Oryctolagus cuniculus: one gene and its partners. The main gene of each other region encodes a partner of the protein of the gene in region 2 in a complex. Links are inferred from orthologs where the notes say so. Each region holds a gene or a part of one and is shown on either strand. Other genes may lie near its edges.

Region 1 (3,500 bases), on a different chromosome or scaffold from region 2:
GGAACCAAGTTTTAAACTCTCCCAGCTGGTGCTGCGCTCGATTAACCACTTGTGAAGCGGCAAGCAGGTCTCCACAGCGCATGCAGTAATAAATTAGTGCCCACACAGGATGGCCTTCCACTTCGCCGTCCTGAAAGAGGAAAGACACATTCAAGAGAAATGAACAGAAGCTAACTGATTGTTTTTGACATACCAACACCCACTAAGCCCCTATCCCTGTACTAAGTCACCTAACCTTCACAACCCCACCAGGCAAGAACTGTTGACAGCCTCCTCCTCCTCTCTGTCCAAAGAAGCTGAGGCACAGGGAGGTTAGGTCATTTGTCCAAGGTAAGCTGGTAAGTGGCAGCGGCTCAGCTCTAAATACCTTACTTGCTGCACAGCCAGCCCTGTGGCTTCCCCAGGGAACCTCAGTGGTCTGCAGTGCCCAGGTGACATGTTCTGTGGTAACTGACAGACACGCACTCCCACAACCCCTACAAAGTCAGGGCTAAAGGTGTCCAGGAAGAGACTATCATATGGTAATACCTGAGTTTACATAATATTAACTACACCACGAGCCAACTGCGGACTCTGCCAGGCACCAGGGATCTGAAAGGCAGCTCTGTTCTACTCTCCTGTCTGCTCTGGTCATCTGCCTGTGCAGCAGACCTATGCATGCCTGTCTCTGTCTCTCCCCACTCCTATTCGGAATAGTGAACCACAGACATCCTTTCCTGGCCCTTGCTCTGTGGCAGACTCTTTCTAAAGCCCAAATTTATCATGTCACTTGCTCACCCAAACTCCTCTGAGCTGAGAAGTCTGAAGTGCTTAGCCTGGCATTCAAGGCCTTCATACTCCTGACACTGACACTCCAGATCCTCTTTCCAGCTCCCAGGTTTTTGTTCCTGGTGTTTTCCCCTCCTGAAATTCCCCTTTCCTAGACTGCAGTCTGGTGAACACTTATTTTTTAAAAGCAAGCGAGACTTGAGGCTGGCGCTGTGGCATAGTAGGTTAATCTTCTGCCTGCAGTGCCGGCATCCAATATGGACGCTGGTTCTAGTCCTGGCTGCTCCTCTTCCAGTCCAGCTCTCTGCTATGGCTTGGGAAAGCACTGGACGATGGCCCATGTGCTTGGGCCCCTGCACCCACGTGGGAGACTCAGAGGAAGCTCCTGGCTCCTGGCTTCGGATAGACCCAGCTCTGCCCATTGTGGCCATTTGGGGAGTGAACCAGCAGATCAAAGACCTTTCTCTTTGTCTCTTCCTCTGTCTTTAATTCTCTCAAATAAATAAATAAAAATCTTTTAAAAAAAAAAGCAAGACTCTCATCTGCTTTATGAAGCCAGCCTCCCTTTATCTAATTATCTTAGTCTCATACCTGGATAAGATAATTCCCTCAGCTGGATTGTGAGCTGGATTGTGAGCTGGGAAGAGGGTACACGCCCTAAAAATCATACCCAACTCCAATCTTGCAGCTGTTCTGGTAAAAATCTCAGAAGTCATCCCTGACTCTGCCTTCATAGCCCCATCCAAGGTCATCAGCAAGTCCTCACAGCTCAACTTGCCTGACACATTTAGAACTGGAGGATACCTTCCACCTCCCTGCTCCTTCACCGCGGGCTGAGCAGCCACCACCACTCATCTGGGCTCTTTACTACCACCAGCCCAAGAGGCATTCAGCTCCCCACCCCCCCTTCCTTGGTCTCTTTTCCATACGGCAGTTTCCCTATATATCCTGCCTTTAACTGAAAATGCAATCTGAGAGCAACTGCTCTGGGTATAACTGATATCACAGAGAATGGTGTCTATACCTGAAGTCCAGGCAAGGGAGCTGGAAGTTTAATGTTCAGGAAACTCCGAACCAACTGGTAAGTTCCAGGCACGCCACCCAACTGGGCCTGATGCAAATTTCCAAAGACAGTCACAAGGGTGTAATTCTTGTAACTGGAAAAACACAAAAAGGAAAACAAACAATGAGGAGGTTGAAAATATCTATTGCACACATCTATGTCCGCATCTGTGACGCTGGGCTCTGAACGCTACAGGGCAGGCCCTGGACTTAAACCTAACACAAAAGAGAAAGTTGCATATGCTTAATTAAACAAACTACACTGCTTAGTCAGTGGGCAGCAGATCAATGTAAAGACTTTGCCTCACTGTGGACACTCAAAAGAATCCCCAGAGGAGCACAATTCAAGTGCAGTAAGGGCTGATGTGCAGATGAACTGTTCCTGCTCAGAACCTAATGCTTGTTACACTTCTACATTTTGAAAAATTTCAAACCTGCAAAATTAAAAGGATAGTTTAACCAATACTTATATATTCCTTTACTGAGCTTCAACTGTTAGTAACATTTATGTGCACGTCTCTCTTTCTATCCACACAAGAAATGTGCTTATACTTTTTCTGAATCATTTGAAGATATGTTCTAGAAAGCAGGGGCTAACTCATCTGTAAATTCTTTATCATGTAGCTCATAGGAACTAGGATGTTCTCTTAAATAACTCCAAAATCACTGACATCAAGAAGTCTAACACTAAAACTGTCCTCTAAAATTTCTTAAAAAGGTCCTTTATAGTTTGTTATCTTTTAAAATCCAGGATCTAGTAAAGGAATTCACAACAATCATTTGGCACCCCTTTCATTTCCTTTAATGTAAGATAATTCTACCACTTTTTTTTGTCTTGCAAGATACTGATATCTTTTAAAATAACACACCCCTCTAACTGCACACACAGACCAGGCCAGTGCCGTGGCTCACTAGGCTAATCCTCCACCTGTGGCACTGGTACCCTGGGTTCTACTCCCGGCTGGGACGCCAGATTCTGTCCCGGTTGCTCCTCTTCCAGTCCAGCTCTCTGCTGTGGCCCAGGAAGGCAGTGGAGGATGGCCCAAGTCATTGGGCCCTGTACCCGCATGGGAGACCAGGAGGAAGCACCTGGCTCCTGGCTTCAGATCGGCATAGCACGCCGGCTGTAGCAGCCATTTGGGGGGTGAACCAAAGGAAGGAAGACCTTTCTCTCTGTCTCTCTCACTGTCTAACTCTGCCTGTAAAAAAAAAAAAAAATACAGACCAGGTGACAGGGAGAATGTCCCACAAGTAGGGTCATTTCCTCATGATCAGATTCAGGCTCCACTTTGTTGCTGATAGCCTTACACAGCTCATGCTGGTACTTCCCACTGAGACCCACAAAGAGAGGTGGCAAGTAAGCTGTTTCCTTCACGACTGGTAACACTAGATCTGATCCATTTGGTTAACAGCAGTTGTCTCTCATATTTCCCATTGTAATTTAGTATTATTCCTTTGTAAAGAATAAGTCATCTGCTGGGTAATTCTTGGGAAGTCATGTGAATATTCTGCTCCTTTCTTTAGCTTTTAGTTGGTTTTAGTTTCCACTGATGGTCTCTAACAACACAATTACTACACTGCTGGTTGTGAAATGATAATTTTCTCTTCATTTATTTGCAAGTATAGGTCTTAAAATCCTCTACAGAGTTCTTAAGTGCTTCCTATACAAG
Region 2 (3,500 bases):
CCATCAGCAGGGAGCTGGATTGGAACTGGAGTAGCCGGGCCTCAAACTATTGACCACATGGGAAGTGGCACTGCAGGTAAACAAATAATTTAAAAGAAAGAAAAGAGCAAAATAATCTGTGTAGGATAATTTAGTCAAAGAAAAACTACAGCGGAGCCAGTGCTCCATATGGATGCTGCTTCGACTCCCAGCTGCACCACTTCCAATCCAGCTCTCTACTATGGCCTGAGAAAAGCAGTAGAAGGTGGCTCAAGTCCTTGGGCCCTGCACCCATGTGAAGAGACCCAGAGGGAGTTCCTGGCTTCGGATCAGTGCAGCTCCAGCCATTGCAGCCAGCTGGGGAGTGAACCAGTGAATGGAAGGCCCCCTTCTCTCTCTCTGCCTTTCCTTCTCTGTGTGCAACTCTGACTTTCAAATAAATAAATAAATCTTAAGGGAAAAAAAAAAAAAAAAAAGCTACAGAGGCAGGCATCATGGCAATGCTGGTTAGTGTCAGCTACTCCATTTCCAATCCAGCTTTCTGCTAATGCAGACCCTGGGAAGCAGCAGATGATGCTCTAGCCACTCATATAGGAGACCTAAATGGAATTCCAGGCTTCTGCTGCACCCTGGGCTGTTGCTGGCAGGTGGGGAGTGAACCACCAGATGGATGATCTCTCTCTATCTCTACCACTCTGTCAAATAAATTCTGAAAACAAAAAAAGAAAAGCAAAAGCAAAAGCTACAGTTTTGAGGCAGGTGAACCCTCCCAGAACTAGATGAACACACTGCTGTACCTGGATTCTTTAGTAGTGATGACAGATGACAGCTGATTGGCTGCTAGCCAGGTCCAGGCTTCTGCCTGTGCGGCTTCTCCTCCAAACTGCAGTTTGATGCATCTGCAATGAAAATGGCTTTATATCAGTAAACCAACTGCTGAAACCCATGACCTTATTCTGCTACTAAAACTGGAGTGATAAGATGACAATTTTCGATCCAGTCTACCATCAAATTCACTACTGAAGTACTGGCTCTTCCCTTTCTTCAAAGCCACACAACCTGATGAACCATCAGCCATTAGCAAGACTTGAGACAATTTACTTCCAAGAGAAAATTAATGGTAGAAAATTCTGAAAGTCTAAATACATTTCCAATTCACAAACTATTTGACTGATAGTAGGCATACATGACGTCAATAGGAAACATTTAAGACTGGGTAAAGCTGCCACCTGTGATGCTGGCATTTTATTTGGGTGCTGGAAAAGCAGTGGAGGATGGTCCAAGTGCTTGGGCCCCCCTGCACACATGTGGGAGACCCAGAAGATGCTCCTGGTCCTGGCTCTGGCATGGCCTATTGCGGCCATTTGGGAAGTGAATCAGGGGACAGACGCTCTCTGTTTCCCTCCCTCTCTGTAACTCTGCCTTTCAAATAAAATAAATCTTTGAAAAAAATTTTAATAACATTCAGAGGGTCTAACTGGACTGAACACAGCACACAACTTGTCTATATAAACTTGTCATAAATGGACCTCATTAGTTAAACCATGAGGTTTGCTCTTTTGATTTCTTAAATGAAGCTAAAGATCAAAATATTTTTTAAAAAAAGTAAAATCATAAGCCACTAAAAAAAATTAATGAACAGCTTAAACCAAACACTTTCTTTAAGTCACAAACAACTAATAAACCACTGGCTTGGGGTCTGCCAGGAGCCCATGAGTGCCGATTCGAGTGTCAGCTGCTCCTCTCTGATCCAGCTTTTGCTAATGCTCCTGGGAAGGCAGAAGATGGTCCAAATATTTGGATCCCTGCCACCCACATGGTGGACAGAGATGGAGTTACAGGCTCCTGGCTGCGGCCTGGCCCAGCCTCCAGCCATTAAAGCCACTTGAGGAACAACCAGTGGATGAAAGATCTCTCTCTCTGAGTTTTAAATAAAATCAATCTTCAATAAAAGAAAATTAAGACAATAAAAAGACAATTTTATACATACTTGAAAGCAAGTCCCTCAAAGACTGGTGTTAAGGGAAGCTTAAAAGTCTGACAGAGGGATATGGCAGTGTCAAAGAGGCCAGCCTGAACCAAGAGAGTCACCATCTCCTCTGCTGACGAGCTTCCTGCAGAAAGGGAACAAGGTTATTAGTCCACTCACGGGCATATGCAAATTGGACTAAAAATGCCGTGCTTTATACCCATCTAGCACACTGTATCCACTGCCTGGTCCTGAAAGGCACCACGGTACCCACAGTCAGAGGCTATACCTGCTCAGTCCCTACCTGCCACGGCAATTGCCGATGGATCGTGCTGGGCCAGAGTGAGGCGGATTCGAGCCAAGGAGCACTCTTTTTCCAGATCCTCCAGCTCCAGGATTTCAATCTGCCGATTTGCTAGAAATCAAAGAGAAGTATTTTCAAACCCATGAGGAAGTGTCTACTAGATAAAGTCAACCTGTCATTTTTTTTTAAAGATTTATTTGTGAAATAGGGAACAAAAGAGATCTTATACCTACTGGCTCATTCCTTAATTAGGTGCAACAGCTAAGACTGGGCCAGGCCAAAGCCAGGAGCCAGGAACTCCATCCTGGTTTCCCACATGGTTAGCAGGGGCACGCACTTGGGCCATTTCCTACTGGTTCCCCAGGCACATTAGCAGGGAGCTGGATCATAAGTACAGCAGGTAGGACTTAAACCAGTGTTCAGATGGGATATGGCATCAGACACAATGCTGGTCCTGTCATTTTCTTTTAATCTTAAGTAAAATTTACTTCACAGAGGCATTAATTAAAGGAAAAAACAGAGGACTCAATAAAAGCTAAATTAAGCAGCATTCTGCCTCCTATCTACAACTGAGCCCAAGCACTCTAATAACAATAGCTACAGTGGAGGAGCTCCTCATAAGGTATTTTACGTGTAATTTAACTCTTACTGTCATCATTATCACTAAGAAAGGAACCTGCAGGGCTGGTGCTGTGGCAAAGTGGGTACAGCCACCACCTGTGATGCTGTTCTGCTTCCAATCAAGCTCCTTGCTGACACAACTGGGAAGGCAGCAGAGGTTGGCCTAAGTACTTGGGTGTCTATACCCATGTGGGAGATGCAGAGGAAGCTCCTGGCTTCTGATTGGCCCTGGGGAGTGAATCAGCAAATGCAAGATCTCTTTCTCTCTCTAACTTTGCCTTTCAAATAAATAAATCTTAAAAAAAAAAAAAAAAGAGAGAGAGAGAGAGAGAGAGAGAGAGAGAGAGCGAGCAAGTGAAGGAACCTGCACAAGGTGACAAAGGAAGAATTAAAAGCAAGTGTGTCCAAATCTAGAGCATAGGTTCTTCAGGAAGGATACCATGCATACTTGATAATTTCAAAGCAACCAGATTTTTTTTTTTTTTGACAGGCAGAGTGGACACTGAGAGAGAGAGACAGAGAGAAAGGTCTTCCTTTACCATTGGTTCACCCTCCAATGGCCGCGCGGCTGGCGCACCGCACTGATCTGAAGCCGGGAGCAAGGTATTTCTCCTGGTCTCCCATGCG
Region 3 (3,500 bases), about 210 Mb from region 2:
CATTGGCAAAGAGTTCTTGGAAAAGACTCCAGAGACACAGGCAACCAAAGTCGAAACTGACAAATGGGATGACATTAAATTGAGAGGCCTCTGCACTGCAGAAGAAGCACTCAGAAAAGTGAAGAGGCAACCGACAGAATGGGAGAAAATATTTGCAAAATATGCAACTGATGAAGGATTAATAACCAGAACATATAAAGAAACCAAGAACTTCAACAACAACAAAGCAAACAACCCAGTGAAGAAATGGGCAAAGGACTTAAGCAGGCATTTTTCAAAAGAAGAAATCCAAATGGCCAACAGAGACATGAAAAAATGTTCAGGATCACTAGCCATCAGGGAAATGCAAATCAAAACCACAGTAAGGTTTCACCTCAACCCCATTAGAATGGCTTTCATACAGAAATCTGTAACAAACAACAAATGCTGGCGAGGAAGTGAGGAAAAGGTATCCCAATCCACTGTTGGTGGGGATGTAAAATGGTACAGCAACTGTGGAAGACAGTATGGAGACACCTCAGAAATCTGGATACATATCTACCATATGACCCAGCCATCCCACTCCTGGGAATTTACCCAAGAGAAATGAAATCAGCATATGAAAGAGTTACATGTTTACTGCAGCTCAATGCACTATAGCTAAAATATCAACCTAAATGTCCATCAACTGAAGACTGGATAAAGAAATTATGGGCACGGCACGGGGTTGTAGTTCCAGTTGCTCCTCTTCCTGTCCAGCTCTCTGCTGTGGCCCAGGAGGGCAGTGGAGGATGACCCAAGTGCTTGGGCCCCTGCACCCACATGGGAGACCAGGAAGAGGCACCTGGCTCCTGGATTCAGATCAGCACAGCTCTGGCCATTGTGACCATTTGGGGGGTGAACCATCGGATGGAAGACCTTTCTCTCTGTCTGTCTCTCACTGTCTATAACTCTACCTGTCAAATAAATAAATAAAATAAAATAAATTATGGGATATGTACACCATGGAATTCTAAACAGCAATTAAAAAAAAAAAAAAAAGAAATGCTATTGTTTACAACAAAATGAATTAAACTGGAAAACATCATACTTAGTGAAATAAGCCAGCCCCTAAAGGACAAATCCCCTATGTTCTCCCTGATCTGTGATAACTAATAGAACACCTAAAAGGTAATCTATCTACAGAAGTGAAATCAACACTTCGAGATGCAATGACTTTGAACAGCCCTTGTCTCAACTGCTGCAGAAGAGTTTTTCATAAACTTTGTTGAACTCTTTACTTAGAGTTAATTATTTACTTTGAGTTAACTGAATTGAAAATGGATCTTAGTAAAAAATAAGACTGCAAATAGGGGACAGAGGAGGAAGAGGGGTGGGAGTGTGGGTGGGAAGGTGGGTGTGGTGGGAGGAATCACTATATCCCTAAAGTTGTATTTATGAAAAGCATGAAGTTTGAATTTTTTAAATGAAAGATTTCTGGGGCGTGGAGGGGTGGGGAGGAAGAGCTGCCTGGAACACGGAGGACCTACCAAGCTGAAGTTGTTAGCAAAGTCAAGACATTGAACTGGATCCCCCAAGGAAGAGCAGTTGACGCCAAGTTCTTACAACCCAGCACGATGGTGGCAAACCACCCAAAATGCCAGCAAGAATGCACACTCTTCCCAAATGGTATAGCTTTCTCTCTTTTCTACTCTCAGCAGACACACAGTGGCGCTGAGACCATGGCCCTGTTCTTCTCAAAGACCTGGAAGTGCAGTGGCCAAAACCAATGAAAACAATGCTGTCTTGTAGCTACGGGGCACACATTGCAAGGCAAGCAGGCAGCTGCGTGAGTGGCAGGCGAAGTGAGAGTGCACCTCAGACGTCCAAGGCCCAAAGGTTGCTAAGGAGGCCGTCGTGGGTGTCCGCGGGATTTTAAATTACATCTCTTGTTGGAGCCAACACCCTTCAAACACCCCAGATAAGCCCAATCTCTGGACACAGAAATCAGTAACATTTTGGCTCTCAGGGAAAATCCTGGTTCTTTATCTCAAGGCATATCTGGCAGGCATCTCACCAAGTCACTGCTAAGACCCCAAGCTGCAGACTCGCCCGAGGGGAGGCTTACGTGACTGGTGGCGATGATGAGCAGCATCCGCCAGGCAGACACCAGCATCTGGTACTCCAGGAAGCAGGTGCAGCCGCTGCCCTCCGTCTCCGCCGTGTGAACCGCCAAGGACTTGACGTACCCTGACCAGTAGGCAAAGCGTTCCTCACCGGCAAACTTCTTGAGTATATCTTTTAATGACTGGTCTAAGGAACCCCTGTGATGTCAAGAAGAAACAAAACCCCCAGGTAAGACATGACAGCAGCTGGGAATCTGACGGGCACAGACCCTTGCTGAGGCAGGGAGAACCACCTCACATGGGCTTAAAGGCAGACGGCTCCGGATCACCTCCAGGGTGTGGGGGTCACACTTCTCGCTCAACATAATGGGTTAGGCTGAGGCCTTTCCAGGATTCCTCCGCCATGAAATCCCGGTCACATGGAGCTTGCGCCACCATAACTCTTTCTGACAATTATAAACGCCATCAGTGGACTGGCCAGGGACACGGCTCACTGGCCCTCCATAAATGGCTCCAAACCAACTCTCTCCTCTGCCCTGGCTCACAGCCACGCACCCAGTGGTAGGCCACTACCATCTCCCCCACCCCCAACCTTTACTGAAAGTCTCACACAGGGAGAGGACTCACTTAACTACATAGTATATCTCCAAGCAAATTATCTTCATGATTAAGGCACAGGTCTCCAGGACGCTGGGCTGTGGAGGGGAGAGCAGAACAGACAGCAGTCACACGCAGAAACCTCTTCCCGGGGGCCCCCACCCTGCAGGAGGGCAGGGCCCCAAGACGTGGGAACAGGCAAGTGCACGCCCTATCGAATGTGAACAGGCAGGAGCATCAGGGCCACACGGCCCCAAGACAGGGGAGAAGCCCGGAGCCATCCACCCAGAACAGGGCAGGCCACCTTCCCAAAACAAGACAGCAAAGGGGAAGGAAGCAGGCCCTGCCCGGAGAAGGAAGCTTCTGGTGAAGAAAACGCTCCGGTGTAACTGGGGCAGGTACCACTTTCTGCACTGCAGCCCAGCCCAACCTTTCCGCCCAGAGACTGGCAGCAACCGCCCGCCCGCCACTGCGGCTCACCTCAGACGTCTCCGAGGGAGGAGACAGGGTTCCAAACAGCGGGCATGTCAAATTTTCCCAAAACTTGGGCCTAGGAGGAAAACACATTGTGGAAACCAGATTCTTGCTCTCCCATGGTCTACACTTTGCAAGATTTTCTCTCTCTGCCTCTCCTCTCTGTATAACTCAGACTTTTAAATAAATAAATAAATCTTAAAAGGGGGGGGGGCTTTGATGCAGTCAGGAGAAGGCAGGAACACACACACAGCTGAACCTTAGAGAGGATGCTTACTGGCATCAAGATCTCAAGAAGTGTAACACTCCCCCACATGCACTTCCATGCACGTTGCCAGAGCACCA
Region 4 (3,500 bases), on a different chromosome or scaffold from region 2:
ACAGCAGTGGGCACCTGTCACCCACGTGGGATACCCATATGAAATTCCAGGCTCCTGACTTCCATATAACCCAGCCCTGGCCATTGCAGCCATTTGGGTGGAAAAATCTCTCTCTCTGTCTCTCTCACTCTGCCTTTCAAATAAATATAAGATTCTTTTTTAAAAAATTTGGTCTGGCTGCACTCTCCGCTATTTTTGCCACTAAATTCCTAGACATCCCCTTTCAGTACACAATAGATATTAGCAGGTTAATGCTGTTTAGCAAACTAAAAGTACTAGAGTTTGATGACAGGGTGAAATCAGCTCACCTGACTAACACAAATGTTTTCGTACTCTTCCACAAGGTCAAAAACTGTAGTTGAAGAGTGCTTCAAAAAAGACTGCAGGAAATCAGAAAACATACTCATGGATGCTAAAATACATTAAAAAGAAAAGGAAAAAAGAAAAGTTATAGGACATACTTTTAGGTAATTTTGATTGAAAAATTAAAAACATAGTTTTTAAAAAGAATTTACCACTGTAAAGAAAGAAAATTTACCATTGTAACTATTTTTAAGTGTACACAGTTCAGTGACACTAAGCACATCCACAATGTTGTGCTACTATCACCAACTTCACTCCACAACACTCATTCTTACCTTGCAAAACTACAACTCTACCCATTCAGCAATAACTGCCAATTCCTCACTATCCCCAGTCCCTCGCAACCACCATTCCACTTTCTGTCTCTATCAAAGTATCTCATATAAGGGAGATCTATATGATCTAGTCTGTCCTATTTTGACTTGCTTATTTCATTTAGCAATGTCTCAAGGTTTATCCATGTTAGCAGGTGTCAGAATGTCCTTCCTTTTTGGCTAAATACTACTACTACATTTTATGTAAATAGCACACAATGGATGGACACTCAGCTGCTTCCACTTTTTGGCTACTATGAACATGAATATTTAAATATCTCTTTGAAATCTTGCTTTCACATCCTTTGGGTATATATGCATAGGCAGAACTATTGGATCATAAGGTAATTCCTCGTTCAGTTTCTTGAGTAACTGCTTTACTATTTTCCAAAGTGGCTGCACCATTTTACATTCCCACTAATAGTATACAAGGGTTTCAATTTCTCCACATCATTTTCAAATTTGTCATTTTCTCCATTTTTTATAGACCTCCTAATGGTGTAAGGTGGCATCTCATATTAGTTTTGATCTACATTTCTCTAAAGATAAGTGATTTCACCTTTTCACGTGCTTACTAGCTATTTGAAAATCTTTAGAGAAACATCTATTCAAAATTTTTGCCCATTTTATGAGTTACAGCAGTTACAGGAGTTGTTTTTTTTTTATTTTTTGGATTTAAGCCCCCTTTCAGCTAATTTGCAAATATTTCCCACTATTCCACAGGCTGCCTTTTCACTCTGTTGATTAGATTCTTTGAGGCATAGAAATTTAAGATTTTGGCATAGTCCAACTTATCTATTTTTTCATTTGTAACCTATTAGTTTTGTAAGATCCCAAAGATACAGTAGTCATTAATGTTTCCTATTTTGTCAACAATTTTAAAAATTGGGCCACATTTTAAAGCATCTGAATTACATTTTAAGCACAGCATAACAAAATGGCTAAGAATTACAGTAGCTACTCAATGCTCTGTTCAGGTAAGGGAAAATGCATTTGCTCTACTAATATTTGAGTTCTCATCCTAAAATTGAATTCTTGTATTTTACAGAATAAGTAGGAAGTATTTTTGGGGAACCCAAGATTCAAGTATGTATTACTGCAGACACTGCAAGAAAGTGGTGGTTACCATGGTGTTAAGGGCAAGGCTCTGGAATCAAACTGTTTAGTTTCAAATCCTGGTGCCACTACTTCCTAGCTGGGCGATTTTCTGCAAGCCAGTTAGCCAATCTGAGCAGTGGTTTCCTTTCCTCTAAAATGAGAACAATCATTCTAACTATGTAATGGATCTTGGTAAGGATTCCAGGAGTTCATATTCGGAGAGTGATAACCACACAATTAACATCCATAAGGTAGCTGATGATGATGATAAACTCAAGAACATGGTATGTAGGTACACAGACACTAAAAGCAAATGGTCTTGTACAAAAGGAAACGTTAGTAACAAACCTAAAACTAGCAAAGTTACAATACTTTCTGAAAAAGCAGCACTGCTGTCCAGGTTAAAGCTCAACACATCAGCAGTGTTAGATTACAGCTAAGCCTAAGTTCTTTTGGTGGCACAAATAAGAATACAAATAGGAGACCTGCAATGATCCAAAGGCTGCTGTTTATGCTAACAGATACAATGGCAAGACGCTGCTGACAACCCAGGAGGGCTTCTCAGGTTCTCACACTTCCAGAGACAGCCAAGAGCAAAAGCAATTCACACAATGACAAATATACAGACAGAGGGAAGACCCAGCAAAGACTTTCCTGATAGGAATTGTCCTCCCATGGAAGGAAAGAGGAAGAGGCCTTAGAAAAAACCAACCCTGCAGATATCTGTACATTGGATTTCTAGCCTCCAGAATTCCAAGAAAATAAATTTCTGGTTTTTTAAAGCCATCCCTCCCTTTAAAGGAAAAAATAAAACCATGACATTCAGGAACAGGAGAAGAAAACATCGTGACATTAGTCAGGAGAAGAACCGCTTTATCGCAAGGCTCCAAGCCACTTTACCAGCCTCGCCAGGATCATCCTCACGTAGCATGACCGCGCTGAGATTCACGTCCTCTGTGACACTGTGGGCGTCTACACCTGTGTACAGCCCTAAGCGCTGGGATGAGAACGCAGCCGCCCAGTTACTGTCATCCAGATTGGTTATCTTGGAAGGAAAAAGATGCAGAAAAGTGATGGAGCTATTGTCACTGAGTGAACAAATGCTTTAAAAATGAATAAGGTTCAACCACATTTTAAAAACATTACTTCTGTGTATTTTACTTTTAAAAGATAGCCAACAGGGGTTATTATGTTAAGGAATTTATGGATTTTTAATGTTTTCTTCTTTGTATTACTCCATGCTTTTAAAAAAGTTAGTAAGGATTACATTTTGTAAAATTAAGCTAATATTAGCAGATAAAATTAAGCCCTACTTCGTAAGTACTATAAAGGATGGGAGAACCAGTTTTCTTCAGCAGTTAAAAACAGATGAGGGCAGGTATCGTTGGTGCAGCTTGAGATGCCAGCATCTCACATCAGAGTCATAGCCACTCCACGCTTTTGATCCAGTTCCCTGGGAACACGCCTGGGAGGCTGCAGATAATGGCCCAAGGCCTTGGGTTCCTGCCACCCATGTGGGAGACCTGGATGGAGTTCCCGACTCCTGACTTCAGGCTGGCAATCCTGGCTATTCTGGGCATTTGGGAACTTATCCAGTGGATGGACAATCTCTCTGTCTCTCCCACTGTCTTTGTCACTCTGCTTTTCAAATAAATAAATAAATATGTATATATATATATATATATATATATTTTTTTTTTTTTTTTTTTTCCAAAAAGATGGAGG
Region 5 (4,100 bases), on a different chromosome or scaffold from region 2:
ATCTTTGTCTGTATCAAAAAGTTCAAAGGCATCTTTAATTTCTTGTTTCTGTTCCTCAGAGAGCTCTCTTCTTTTTTTTCTCTTTGTTTTGTCTACTACAAGCTCACTTCTATAAAATGGAAACAAAAAAGTCATTAGTCCACTCTAATCGTATTCTCTTATGCAAACTAAACAATCAACAACTTTCTAAATTTCCAAAAAGGAAATATGTTGAAGAAAGATAAAGTATTTTTTCTGTATGAGTTGACATCCTGCTTGTTCCATAGTCCACAGTTCTATGAATGTACACTTCCCAGTATGAAGCCGAAACTCTGACAGAAATGGGGAACAAGGGCCACTGTCACAATGCAATGGATTAAGCCACCACCTGCCACACTGGCATCGCACATGAGTGCCAGTTCAGGTCCCAGCTGCTTCACTTCCAATCAGCTCTCTGCTAATGCACCTGGGAAGGCAGACAACTATGGCATGGCTCAAGTGGTTGGTTCAATCACCCAAATGGGAGACCTGAATGGAGTTCTTGGCTACTAGCTTCAGCCTGGCCCAGCCTCAGCCATAGCGGCCATTCAGAGATGGAAGATTTCTCTGACTTTGTCTCTGTCACTCTTTCATATACGTTTCAAAAAAAGGGGGGGGGGGGGGAACCAAACCTTCCCTCCTCCCAACTCAGAAACAAGAATGGTCAGAGGAGGCTGGCACTATGGCGCAGTAGGTTAATCCTCCACCTGTGGTGCGAACATCCCTTATGGGCACTGGTTCTAGTCCCAGCTGCTCCTCTTCCAATCCAGCTCTCTGCTGTGGCCTGGGAAAGCAGTAAAAGATGGCCCAAGTCCTTGGGCCCCTGTACCCACATGGGAGACCAGGAAGAAGCACCAGACTCCTGGCTTCAGATCAGCACAGCTCCAGCCGTTGCGGCCACTGGGGAGTGAACCAACAGACGGAAGATCTTTGTCTCTCCTTCTCACTGTCTATAATTCTACCTCTCAAATAAATAAATAAAAAACCTTAAAAAAAAAGAATGGTCAGAAATATTACTTTCAGACCAAAAACCTCAATCAAAACCAAATCAACACTTATATCATTCTGCAAAAGTGGAAAAAAATCCAAATCAAAGTAGAATTCATAATTGACAATCAACATAAATATTTATTATACTTCAGTATATTTCTTGTAATTAAGTTTTCAAGATTACTACAAAAAAGTGCCAAATAATTTATCAATTAACCTATATTTTGGCATTGTAAGTTCAAAACTATTTTGGATCACATCTAGGTACTTTGTTTGTAGTTTCTTCCATCAATATTAACATGTCAGCCAACAAAGCAGTGAGTCTAAATATATCATGAATGTTAAAAGATCAAAAAGTGGTATGTAGCATTTGTGCTTACTTCCAAAAAATGTGAAAATTCTTGTCTCATTTAACTTATAAACTATAGGTCAAACTTCTCATAACTCTGGAAAAGAGTAAAGAAAATGAAAAGCAAAATTATTTGGAAGTTAGGAATGTCTTCCATCTGAGACAGATGTAGAAGTGCTTCAGAGTTTCAAATGAGAACACCAATTCTGTAAGAACACGTTTTAAAAATTCTAAATGTAAAACCAGTTGATTGTCTCATAACAGATCATCTTATTTGCATGTGAAAGCCATGGGGGGGGGCGGGCAGCATCGTGGCCCAGCAGGTAGGGCTGCCTCTCAGGTCCAAGGAACACAAACCCTGAGTCCCAGCTGCTCCCCGGGAAGGCAGCGGAAGATGGCCCCAAAGCTTGAGCCCCTGCCACCCAGGAGGGTGGCATGTTCAGGTGAACTGCCATGTTCAGGGCTCCTGGCTCCCCCCTGTGCCAACCCCAACCATGGACGCCCTTTGAGGACTGAACCAGCGGATCCAAGATCTCTTTCCCTGTCTCTTTCTGTCACTCACTCTGCCTTTCAAATAAATAAATCTTTAAAAAAAAAAAAAAAACAAACAAACAAAAAACTTATTTTGGTTTCTGAAATCTTAAGGGGGAAAAAAAGGCAATAGGGATGGCTACCAAATGACAGCAGGTGCAGTACGTCAGAGCTGAGGAAGACCTTCCCCAAGAGACCCGAGTGGACACACACCTGGGCACAGCCGGGGTCAGCCATTCCCCTGCCCGGACTGCCCGCGGGCAAGTCCGGACCCCGCCCACACCTGACCGCAGCCAGGGCCACCCGTGGCGGAACACAGTCTCTGAGCACCTGCCTTCAAGGCTATCTGACACGGGGGGTGGGGTGGGGCACAGACCGAGGGCTAGGGTCGGGACAGAAGACACCGACTCCGGGCGGGTCTCCGATTCGGCGGGGCCGGGGGCACACGGGCGAGCGACTCCGTGGGCAGCGGTGCGGGGGCCAGGTGGGCGGGGTCGCAGCACCGCACGCCCGCGGCCCACCCCCCTAGGCCGAAAGCCCCGTGCGCGGCCACAGGCGACCACCTCGGCAGCGAGCGCCGGGCCGGTCACCTGCAGGGCTCTGCACTCCCGGGGGGCTGGGGGCTGGCAGGCCGGCGAGCCCCCTCCTCACCTCGGCCCCAACGGCCTCCCTTCCACACCCACACACGCACGCGAGCACGCCCGGGGCCCGCTCCGCGGCGTGGGGAGCGCGGCCGCCTCACGACTACCGACCTCAGAGCTAAACTCATTTTCCTCCCCGGACAGACACGTTCCTCTCAGAGACTTTATGCCCTGGCCCGAAGCAGCAGGACTCCCACAAGCCGTTCAACAGACGCGAACGGCCGCTGCCACCACCAGCCCCGCCCAGAAGACAGACACTTCTGAGCGGGATTGGTCGAAACCCGCTAAGGTTGTGCCCCGCTCGGCACTACGCCCTATTTTCATTGGATGGCTTTAGCGTCAGTCAAAGGAGCGTTTGTGCCCGCCTCTCCCGTGCCCTCCGGCCCCTTAGATTGGCCAGCTGCTTTTTCCCCGAATCCTTTGCGGGCCGGCGTGTGGACAGCTCCCAGGTAGGGAATGGCGGGGAGGAGACCGGTGCAGGTGCTCTCAGAGACGTGAGCTTAATTTTTGCGGCCAACCCAACCCTCAGCATCCTACGCAGGCTCACTTGCGACCGAGTTTATGCACGTCATTCATTGTGTCCCCAGTGGCTGGCTGCAGTTGATGTTCCTTTGGGTCCTAGATGTTAGCAAAACGTTTGGTGTCCTCTTAACGACACAGTTCGCTATCATTAAATAGAGTGTGTTTATGAAGAATTCAACATATAAATCTATTAAATAATCATAATGCTAGATAACCGAGATGATCTCAAGGACAAAATATCCCTTACTCATTCTAAGATACATATTAATAAAGCAGGTATGGACAGTGCTTTTTTTTTTTTTTTTTTTTTTTTTTTTACCATGCTGAATAACACACTTAGAATGGAACATTAGGGTTTCTCAACCTTGATCCCCGGAACACTAGAGTTTTGTGAGATGCTTATGGTCATTTCATAGAGAATGACACTGTGGACAAGTAATTTGGGAAAATGTGTTTTTACTTGTTAAGGTCAAATGTCGTCAGTGCCATACCCTGTTAAGGGAATGATAGGGAAGTCACACGCATCACTTCTCTTCACATTTAAGCCGTGGAAACTAGTGACATGGCCACTACTTGCTTGCTGTAAGGGAGGCTGAGAAGAGCTCTCTAGTTTGGATGCCATGTTCCCTGATAAAACATGAGGTCATACCATCTGTTACTAAACATAAAATGGGATTAGCAAGTCTGCCACAGAAACCATTAAAATGGTTATCAATATTATCCTTGAAATTCTCATGAATGATGCAATAAAACAAGGGGAAGAAGTGCCACATGAAATTAACATTGTGTATGAATTATATAACACCTGGAAAATCCAAGAATACCAAAGAAGCTATTGGAATTGATAAAAAGAATTCAGTAAGTAGCTGATCATCACATTTGAGAGAACAATGATTATAAGATATAATAATAGCAAAATGGATTTCACAGAAATAATTTGCACAGGAAATCTATAGAATCAGATATGGACTGCTTCTAAAAGTTGAGATGACCTCTGGCCAACAGCTAGAAAGGAAATGGGGCGGGGGGGCAGCACTGTGGTGAAGTGG
Region 6 (4,030 bases), on a different chromosome or scaffold from region 2:
AAAGTCAGAGTTGGGGCTGGCGCTGTGATGCAGCAGGTTAATGCCCTGAAGCGCCGGCATCCCACATGGGCACTGGTTCGAGTCCTGGCTGCTCCACTTCCGATCCAGCTCTCTACCATGGCCTGGGAAAGCAGTGGAAGATGGCCCAAGTCCTTGGGCCCCTGCACCCAAGTGGGAGACCTGGAAGAAGCTCCTGGCTTCGGATCGGCTCAGCTCCAGGTGCTGTGGCCATTTGGGGAGTGAACCATCGGATGGAAGAACTCCCTCTCTCTCTCTGCCTCTCCTTTCTCTGTGTAACTCTTAAAAAGAAAAAAAGGAGAGGAGAGGAAAAGAAAAGTCAGAGTTACAGATAGAGAGGGAGAGACAGAGACAGAGAGATCATCCATCCACTAGTTCACTCTCCAAATGGCTGCAACAGCCAAAGCCAAGAGCTTTTTCCCGCGTGGGTGCACGGGCCCAGATGCTTGAGCCACCTTCTGCTGCTTTCCCAGGTGCATCAGCAGGGAGCTGGATCAGAAGTGGAGCAGCCAGGATTTGAACTGGTGCCCAAATGGGATGCTGGCCTTGCAGACAGAGGCTTAACCCACTGTGCCACAGCACTGGCCCCAAGCCCCTAAAATCTTTAAGTAATTGAACTGATTCTGAAGAACAGGAACTTCCAATCGTTACTCCTGCGCACAGCTATGCTGGCGCCTCCAGACAATTATCCCCGAAACAGACCAAGCCCTTTGCGCCTCGGCTTCACAAATCGACTTACAAGCTAACCCAGATCAGCAGCCAGGAGGGAAACCCTGAGGCTCACCCTTACCTCCAAACCTCACCCTTACCTCCAAACCTCACCCAGTCTCCAGCCGGCAGGAGTGACCCCAGCTCCGGCTCCGGCCTTCCCACCTGTGTCTGACCCAGCGGTAAGTCCTGGCCGCCCCTGACAGGAGCCCGAGTCTGATCACCACGTCTACAGCCCAACTGAGGCTACCAGCAACTCTCCCTGAACGACACTTCTCAGTCCCTGAGTGATCCTCTCACATGGCCATCACTTGCCCTGTAAACAGACGGCGCTCACAAGGGCAGGGGCTTTAGGATCTTCACGCACTGCCTACAGAGACCCTGCCGCACAGAACTCGGCTAGCGACGGCCTAGTCTCAAGACAAGCGAGTTCGGGCCTCAGGAAGACCTAACGCAATCCCTGAACAACTAAGCAATGCTGGGCTCTAAGAACACAACGTGAAAAAGCCTCTCCCCTCCAAATGCGGGCAGTTTACAAGAAGAGCAATAGGGGGCGGCGCTGTGGCCTAGCAGGTAAAGCCGCTGCCTGCAGTGCCAGCATCCCACATGGGCGCCAGTTCGAGTCCCGGATGCTCCACGTCCGACCCAGCTCCCTGCTGTCCCCTGGGAGAGCAGTGGAAGATGGCCCAAGTCCTTGGGCCCCTGCACCCACGTGGGAGACCTGGAGGAAGCTCCTGGCTCCTGGCTTCAGACCAGCGCAGCTCCAGCTGTTGCAGCCACTGGGGAGTGAACCAGCGGATGGAAGACCTCTCTCTCTCTCTCTGCCTCTCCTTCTCTCTCTGTGTAACCCTGACTTTCAAGTGAATCAATAAATCTTCAAACAAACCAAAAAAAGAGCAATAAACAGCAGGCAGACAGAAGCCAAAGGTACAGGCACACGGGAGAGAGTCGGATTAGCCAAATCTTGACGGATGAGCAGGCCGGCAAAGGGCAAGTGTTCCACACGCACTCGAAAATTAACCACACAGTAGAGCAAGACGCGTAAGACCCGAAGCAAGCACGGTAGGAGTCTGCCTGCTTCCAAGACCACACGCACAGACTCCAGACGAGACGCAGGGCCCTCATCAGGGTGCTCTGCAGGGCCACAGCGGGTTTCACCGCCACCTGGGAGGCCGCAGCCCACATCTGAGAACCGGGTTCCAACCTGGGCTCCTCCCAGCGCAGCCCGCACGCTCGGGCCCCTGCTACCCTTCCGGGACAGCAGCATGGAGCTCTGGCCCCGGGCTCGCGCCTGGCCCGAACCCGGCTGCTGCAGCCACGGAACACCTCTCTCTCTCTCTGTCGCTCCGCTCCGGATAGGTCCAGAACCTTTCGTGAAAATGAGTGGAACTGAAGGGTACCCAGACACGCGGAACTCTGCGAGCCCGTCACGGGCTGACTCTTGTCAAGGAAGGGAAAAGATCGCGGGCCGCGAGACCGGCGGGCTTCTCCTGTGCAGAGCCCAGGAACTGCTTTACCGCCGATCATCCGCACCTGACACACTCGAGAGTCCAAGCGGAACTGAACGCACAGCGATGTTAAAAACAGTGTCCCCGAGAGAATAAATACGTTCACTAAACTTCGGGCTAGCACTGACTAGCAGGCAGAAACTCAGGACAAACAGGGAAGCCCCAGCTCCTCTGCTCAGCCCGAGCCCAGTCTCGTGCCCACGAGGAAATGCGAAGGCAGTAGGGTCAGGGAGACAAAAAGAGGGGTGGGACGGCGACAGCACGGCTGCACCCTAGTTCCTAACGGAGCCGAGGAAGGGGCTGGGCACCGCGCGGCCGGCAGGGAGCCGCGCTGACAAGCTTGAGATGACCCAGCGGACGCCGTCCCGGGGCGGCGAGCGCAAGCAGGCCAGTCCCGGGCTCCCTTACAGTGACTGTCGGCTCGCCATCCAGCTCCTCCATAGCGCCGCGCCGCCGACACGCTCCTCCGCTCGGGCCTCCCGCTCAGGAGCCTGCCGCGAGAGAGGACCCCGCCCGGGCGCCCCCGGCTGCGCCTGCCGCCCAACCCCGCGGCGCCGCCGAGGCCTCGCCTCTCAGCCACGACCCACCCCTGTGCCGCCCTCGCCATGCGTCCCTCCTTCACTGCCTCCGCAGAGCGTCCGGGAAGGACAGCGCGAGGGCAGCCTATAGTCACAGGCGTGATCTCGCCCGGTCAGGCAGCGCCGCGGACAGCCCCGCGCCGGGCAGAGAGAAGGCCCCCGGAGACGGCGGGAGAGACCGCGGGGCGGACGGCAGTGCGCCTGCGCACGCGCGGACTCGGGTGGGTGTCGCCGGGCGGTGGCCGGGGTCAGTGCCCACGGTGGCGGCCCTGGCTCCCCCGTCTGCGCTGCGTGGCGTCCGCACAACAGCGTCTCCGAGCCCCGGCGATCCAAAGGGCGTACGTTAGGAAGCTGTCGCCGCCATTGCCTCTCCGGAGCGCGAGAGGCGCGCGGACCTAATTGATGGCGTCTAAACCGGCCGCGAGGAGTGGACGCCTGTTGATGCTGGTTCTGTGCGAAGCGGCGCGCGCGTCCGTGACGCCCCTGGCGCAGGAGAGAGGGGCTCCAGTGACCTGCAGCAGGTGTTTTCGGAGTGACACATGGAGGGACGGTGGCGCCGGGCTCCGCTCCCCCTCGGCCACCTGGGCGAACTCAAACTCGCGACTTGGAAGTCTTAGGAAGCAGCTCAGCGCGGGAGGAATCTGGCCCGAAAGGCTGTAGCAGGGCGTCCCCTGGGCCGAACGCGCCTGTCCCTGCCGGAACTGGGAGTCTGTCCTGGCGCCCAGCTGTGTGTCCTTGTCGGGGAGCGCGGGTTCGAGTCCCGGCTGCTCCACTTCCCATCCAGCTCCCTGCTAAAAGCAGCGGAAGTCCTTGGGCCCCTGCACCCACGTCGGGGACCCAGCTGGAGCTCCTGGCTCCCCGCTTCAGCGTGACCCAGCCCCTGCCCATTGCTGCCGTTTGGGGAGTGAACCAACAGATGGAAGATGCATTCTCTCTCTCTCCCTCCTCTCTGGGTCTCTGCATTCAAATAAATAAATACTTTTTTTTTTCAAAAGTGCCTGCTACACACCTATTGAACTTCAAGTCCTACGCCCGGTGCCCTCGGCAGGCCCAGACCAAGTGACTTAGGGGCTTTACACGGCCCACAGGCCAGTGTTCCCCACCCCTGACCTAAGGGGTTCAAAGCTGCCTACTGTTTCCAAAAAGACACTAAACACTGAGTAGCAGATAACATTTTCAAAGTAGGGCAGGCGTTTTCCCTGGCAGTCAGGACGCCTG
Region 7 (4,214 bases), on a different chromosome or scaffold from region 2:
TAATCAGCAGGTCATTTTACAAAGAGATTGAGTATCAAAGAACACTTTAAAAGTCTGAAATAGATTAGAGGCCATAACTAAAATTATGTAGGGAGGTCAGTGCAGGAGAAAATAGTTTGTGTTCTCAAAAGCCAGATTTTACACAATGGCAGGCACTAAATCTAGTTAGGTGTGCTTGCAGTAGAAAAGACGACATGGATCTTAGTAAAGGCTGGTCTTTTTCATGATGCGCAGGAACTCTTGCTCATTGACTTCTCCATCTCCATCTCGATCAGCTTCATCAATCATTTCCTGCATGACAGTAAAGATTCAGAGAACATTAATTCATAAAATAAACAAAAAGGTGACTACATCATAGGCTTTAACATTGCTATTTGAATAGACAATTGTAGTCTACTCGATACATTATAATAACTTGGCTCTTGAAGAGTCATTGGAAAACCAAGTCATATTTTGTCATACATGTCACCTGGAAGGAAGTTCGAAGGACTTGACCAGAAGGACTCCCAAAACCTAAAACAGTAAATAAAACTGTACACACATGCATTTTTCTGGAAGCAGGGTCATAGGATTGTCAGACTATCAAAGGAAAGTTACGTTGTTAGCAAAGGGGCCAAAGAACAGTATCTTTCATTCAAAGAGGTTTTCCCACCAGGGAAAAATCAAAAGCAGAGAAGTCTCAGAGGGCTCAACGGTGGGAATTCACCGTTCCAGCCTCACACATGACAAACCTGTAGCTCCTCATCTGTCAGGTTCTCGCCCAACTCCTTGGCCACGCGTTTCAGATTTTTGAATGATATCTTTCCAGTTTCATCATCATCGAAGAGCTTGAAAGCTTTCAGAATTTCTTCTTTGGTATCTTTCTCAGACTTAACAAGTAGAACATAAAATGCATTATCAGGAAAACACCATGGTTACCCGTGTTCCATAGCCCCACCACTGCCCATTCCCCCCCCCCCCATTTACAACAATACAAGCCAAGAAGACAAAGAACAGAATTAGAGGCAGCTGCTGAGACACCTAGTGAACCTGACACTGCACATTGGCATGCTAAGCCCTGGTATTTTGCTGTGTTCTCCTGTTCAGAGTTTGCTCTAGTTCAAATGCCAAGGAGGGACTTCCAGGGGAATCAACTTCTTAGATTCATTCCCTAACCCTCCACCTTGCATTTAAAAATGAATGGTGTCTACAGTTTTTCTATTTGGGTTTATCACAGATATATCAGTTGGAAAAACAGTGAAAAATGACACTTTTGCTACTTTACAAAGGGTGAAATGACTTCATTAGTTTGTGACCTTGAAGAAAGCCAAAGAGAATTTAGGCTAATTCTCAGTCAAAAATACTATCTTTTATCAGATGAATTCTCCAATCTTTGTCAATTTTTCTCCAATTAGGTCATTTTCACATCTAGACTAGATAGATAGACTTTATCACTATTTTAAAATTATTTTTGCATTTACTCTAGATAGATAGACATTATCTATCACTATGAGTAAAAAACATGCTAATGGTTATCTCAGCTAACTTACCATTTTCTGAGTCATCACAGTCAAAAAGTCACTAAAGTTCATTTTTCCAGTGCCTTCCTTATCAATTTCACTTATCATTTTCTTGATTTCTTCTTTCTTGGGTTCAAACCCCAGGGCTCTCATTGCCACCTGTAAGGAAACAGGAATGTCTCAATATGCATATCTGAATCTAGCAGGAGCAAATATAAGTGTTGAGAATATTAAGCCAACATCTACCATAATAATGGTAAAATGACTACAGAATAAACATTGATGTAACTGACCTTTGTTGTCAATTTTATTTAGTAACACTTGGCATAATAAAAGACAGGAAAAGAGAGCACAAAAATCCCAGCCCTGTTAGTTTTTACAGGAAGGAGAGGGCAAAAGGGGTAGAGTTGTGACAGAGAAAGGGTAAGGAAGAAGCAGAGGTAGTATAGCAAGAACGTGCAGGGCTTACCTTAAGTTCTTTAACATCTATGGTCCCAGTTCCATCAGCATCAAAGAGATCAAAAGCTTCCCTGATTTCTTGTTTCTGCTCTTCAGTAAGCTCAGGCTTAGGACTCATCCTTTTCCGCTGGGAACTAGATGTTATGTTTCCCTTCTTAAAGTTAGAGGCCTGTAGAAATTATACGAACACATGAGCACACTATTATGTAATACAGTCCATAGTTACAGACACTGCTATCTCTTTTAAAACTAATTTATACCAACCAATTCCCAATTTCTGCTCAACAAGAGATAATGGGGTTTATTGGAAAGAATGAAACTTCCCGTGAAGCGCTCTCCCTCCCTTTTCTTTAGTAGTATTTGTTAGAAGCAAAGAGATCCCTTGTTCTTCGGATACATCACTCCGAGGCAGTTAGCTAAGGAAGTGACTGTAGATAACTCGAAGTGAGTACTGCCCTCCCTGAACGCGGGGATCCTGGCTCCAAAAACAACCCCTCGCGGTACTAGGCTTCCCAAGAGGTACTCTGACTTTCCGATTACTTCTGGATTTGGCCAAAGATTATTAAGTTGTTTAGATAAGTGTTCTGTCCATATCAAATAGTAAAACAATCTATTTGGCACCTTCATGCCCTCCCCAAGATGCTCAAAGCATCTCCGGAATGCCCATATTTAAATTGTAAAATACAAGTTAACAATCAGAACATAACAAAGCTCCTCCCAGGTGGGGGAAGTTTGGCAGAGAGAGGAGGCCAAGATCTGAAAGGGCCAGGATCTGAGAGGGGTTGGGCCCTCTTCTTTGCCTAGGAAGTCCCCGAGGCGGGTAGAGAAAGCCAGGGGGACCCGAGGGACGGGTAAGGGCCCGCTGTGCATGACGGGGAGGCTAGGGCGAAGCGCAGGCCCAGCGGGGTGGCTGGCGTGTCTACCCTTCCGGGAAAGAGCTCAAAGGAAGGATCAGTGCACTAAAGGTGAGCAAGAGAGTCAGTGTGGTGTGGCGGGGCCGCAGCCCTGAGAAGGACTCAGTCCCTGGGTGCAAGGCCGGACTGGGGAGCCAGCACTCACCATAGCCGACGCACTCCGCTGCCCGTTGTTACGGCAACCTACGTACACACCGACTCGGCGCCATTCCCACCGCCCCGCGCGCGCGGCCCAGCTCCCTGTTGGCTGCCGGCTCACCTCCAGCGCTCCCCATTGGTCTACGTCTGGAGTGGGTAGGGCTAACCTCACAAAGCCCGGGCCCAGGCGGGGGGCGGTGCGCTGGGAGGGTGAGACCTGCTCTCATTGGACAACATCACGCTGAGAGCTCCGACTGGCTGAGCCGACTCTAGGCCCGGCCAATCCGCTAGGTAGAAGGAGCTCGGCTGATTCTCAGCTCACACAGGCGGGGAAAAAAGGGTGGCCTTCCTAGGCTGGAGCTCGGTCCTTGTCGGCGGCGGGCTAGCTGAGATCAACCGGGGGACATTTACGGACCGAAGGGTAAGAGTCGCCACGTAGGCTTCGGAAGCCGCTTTGTATCGGCGACAGGGCAGGGCGGGCGAGCGAAGGACTAGGCGGGGCGGTCTGAGTGGCAGTGGTTTTCTGGTCTGGCCTAAGACTGAGTTAGGAACAAGGGCATCAGGAAGATCCCAGGACCTTCGTGTGGGAGCTGGGACTGTACTTACTCACAGGATAGCTGAGACCCTGACAGGGGAAGGGGCGTGCTGAGTGTCGTCGCAGAGGGTTTGACATCTGGCACGTAGACTGGTTGTTTGAGAGAATACAGCAGGTTCCAGGAGCAGCCCGGTACAGTGAGTCGGAGACCTTGACAATGGGTGTTGAACGACGTGAAGGAGGTTCCTCCTCATGCTTGTCTCAAAATACACTCTTTTTGACACAGACTCTCAAGGCAGTCAGGGAGGAGAACTCCAGGCCGAGACACCCTTGTGAGCAAAGTCACGGGAATTGTGGAAGAAGATCTCCAGGGGAGCATGAGTAATGGTAAGGGCTGACTTGAAACTGCAAAAGGACTGGAGTCTGCCCTCCTTAGACAGCTCCACGGGTCTCAGCTGCACCTACTCATGCGGCATTGAGGCGGTTATCTGGGGAGGCAGAGGACAGAGCAGAGGTTTCTCTGGCTTCAAAAGGCCTGAGGCATCCTAGCACATCTTAAGAGGAGTGTCTACTCTTTGCCCTCTTCCTCTTTACAGCAGTGAACTGGGTTCAAAACTTTGTGTTCATGTTTAACTTTCCCTGCCCTCTCCCCTGTATCTAGTCTCTTAA

The links.
Region 1: NUP160 (region 2) and NUP93 share a complex: the UniProt entries of both Homo sapiens proteins name them as parts of the nuclear pore complex. The link is inferred for Oryctolagus cuniculus from reciprocal best matches to the Homo sapiens genes NUP160 and NUP93.
Region 3: NUP160 (region 2) and NUP188 share a complex: the UniProt entries of both Homo sapiens proteins name them as parts of the nuclear pore complex. The link is inferred for Oryctolagus cuniculus from reciprocal best matches to the Homo sapiens genes NUP160 and NUP188.
Region 4: NUP160 (region 2) and NUP107 share a complex: the UniProt entries of both Homo sapiens proteins name them as parts of the nuclear pore complex. The link is inferred for Oryctolagus cuniculus from reciprocal best matches to the Homo sapiens genes NUP160 and NUP107.
Region 5: NUP160 (region 2) and CETN3 share a complex: the UniProt entries of both Homo sapiens proteins name them as parts of the nuclear pore complex. The link is inferred for Oryctolagus cuniculus from reciprocal best matches to the Homo sapiens genes NUP160 and CETN3.
Region 6: NUP160 (region 2) and NUP85 share a complex: the UniProt entries of both Homo sapiens proteins name them as parts of the nuclear pore complex. The link is inferred for Oryctolagus cuniculus from reciprocal best matches to the Homo sapiens genes NUP160 and NUP85.
Region 7: NUP160 (region 2) and CETN2 share a complex: the UniProt entries of both Homo sapiens proteins name them as parts of the nuclear pore complex. The link is inferred for Oryctolagus cuniculus from reciprocal best matches to the Homo sapiens genes NUP160 and CETN2.

What each region holds. Positions count from the first base shown.
Region 1 is NC_091449.1:40,502,587-40,506,086, reverse strand, and holds part of NUP93 (nuclear pore complex protein Nup93), read right to left. Parts: intron 1,926-3,500; coding exon 1,793-1,925; intron 131-1,792; coding exon 1-130. UniProt on the Homo sapiens protein: Plays a role in the nuclear pore complex (NPC) assembly and/or maintenance. May anchor nucleoporins, but not NUP153 and TPR, to the NPC. During renal development, regulates podocyte migration and proliferation through SMAD4 signaling.
Region 2 is NC_091432.1:18,219,428-18,222,927, reverse strand, and holds part of NUP160 (nuclear pore complex protein Nup160), read right to left. Parts: intron 2,364-3,500; coding exon 2,253-2,363; intron 2,094-2,252; coding exon 1,970-2,093; intron 879-1,969; coding exon 777-878; intron 1-776. UniProt on the Homo sapiens protein: Functions as a component of the nuclear pore complex (NPC). Involved in poly(A)+ RNA transport.
Region 3 is NC_091432.1:232,157,719-232,161,218, reverse strand, and holds part of NUP188 (nucleoporin NUP188), read right to left. Parts: intron 3,232-3,500; coding exon 3,162-3,231; intron 2,780-3,161; coding exon 2,712-2,779; intron 2,283-2,711; coding exon 2,087-2,282; intron 1-2,086. UniProt on the Homo sapiens protein: Component of the nuclear pore complex (NPC), a complex required for the trafficking across the nuclear envelope. Required for proper protein transport into the nucleus.
Region 4 is NC_091442.1:71,074,031-71,077,530, reverse strand, and holds part of NUP107 (nuclear pore complex protein Nup107), read right to left. Parts: intron 2,821-3,500; coding exon 2,676-2,820; intron 413-2,675; coding exon 309-412; intron 1-308. UniProt on the Homo sapiens protein: Plays a role in the nuclear pore complex (NPC) assembly and/or maintenance. Required for the assembly of peripheral proteins into the NPC. May anchor NUP62 to the NPC. Involved in nephrogenesis.
Region 5 is NC_091445.1:13,137,649-13,141,748, forward strand, and holds the start of CETN3 (centrin-3), read right to left. Parts: upstream 2,801-4,100; 5' UTR 2,658-2,800; coding exon 2,641-2,657; intron 110-2,640; coding exon 1-109. UniProt on the Homo sapiens protein: Plays a fundamental role in microtubule-organizing center structure and function. As a component of the TREX-2 complex, involved in the export of mRNAs to the cytoplasm through the nuclear pores.
Region 6 is NC_091448.1:5,331,375-5,335,404, forward strand, and holds the start of NUP85 (nuclear pore complex protein Nup85), read right to left. Parts: upstream 2,801-4,030; 5' UTR 2,676-2,800; coding exon 2,643-2,675; exon of another isoform or gene 2,260-2,642; intron 1-2,259. UniProt on the Homo sapiens protein: Essential component of the nuclear pore complex (NPC) that seems to be required for NPC assembly and maintenance. As part of the NPC Nup107-160 subcomplex plays a role in RNA export and in tethering NUP96/Nup98 and NUP153 to the nucleus.
Region 7 is NC_091453.1:131,267,398-131,271,611, forward strand, and holds the start of CETN2 (centrin-2), read right to left. Parts: upstream 2,801-4,214; 5' UTR 2,586-2,800; coding exon 2,580-2,585; exon of another isoform or gene 2,223-2,579; intron 2,128-2,222; coding exon 1,969-2,127; intron 1,659-1,968; coding exon 1,530-1,658; intron 870-1,529; coding exon 732-869; intron 292-731; coding exon 202-291; 3' UTR 1-201. UniProt on the Homo sapiens protein: Plays a fundamental role in microtubule organizing center structure and function. Required for centriole duplication and correct spindle formation. Has a role in regulating cytokinesis and genome stability via cooperation with CALM1 and CCP110.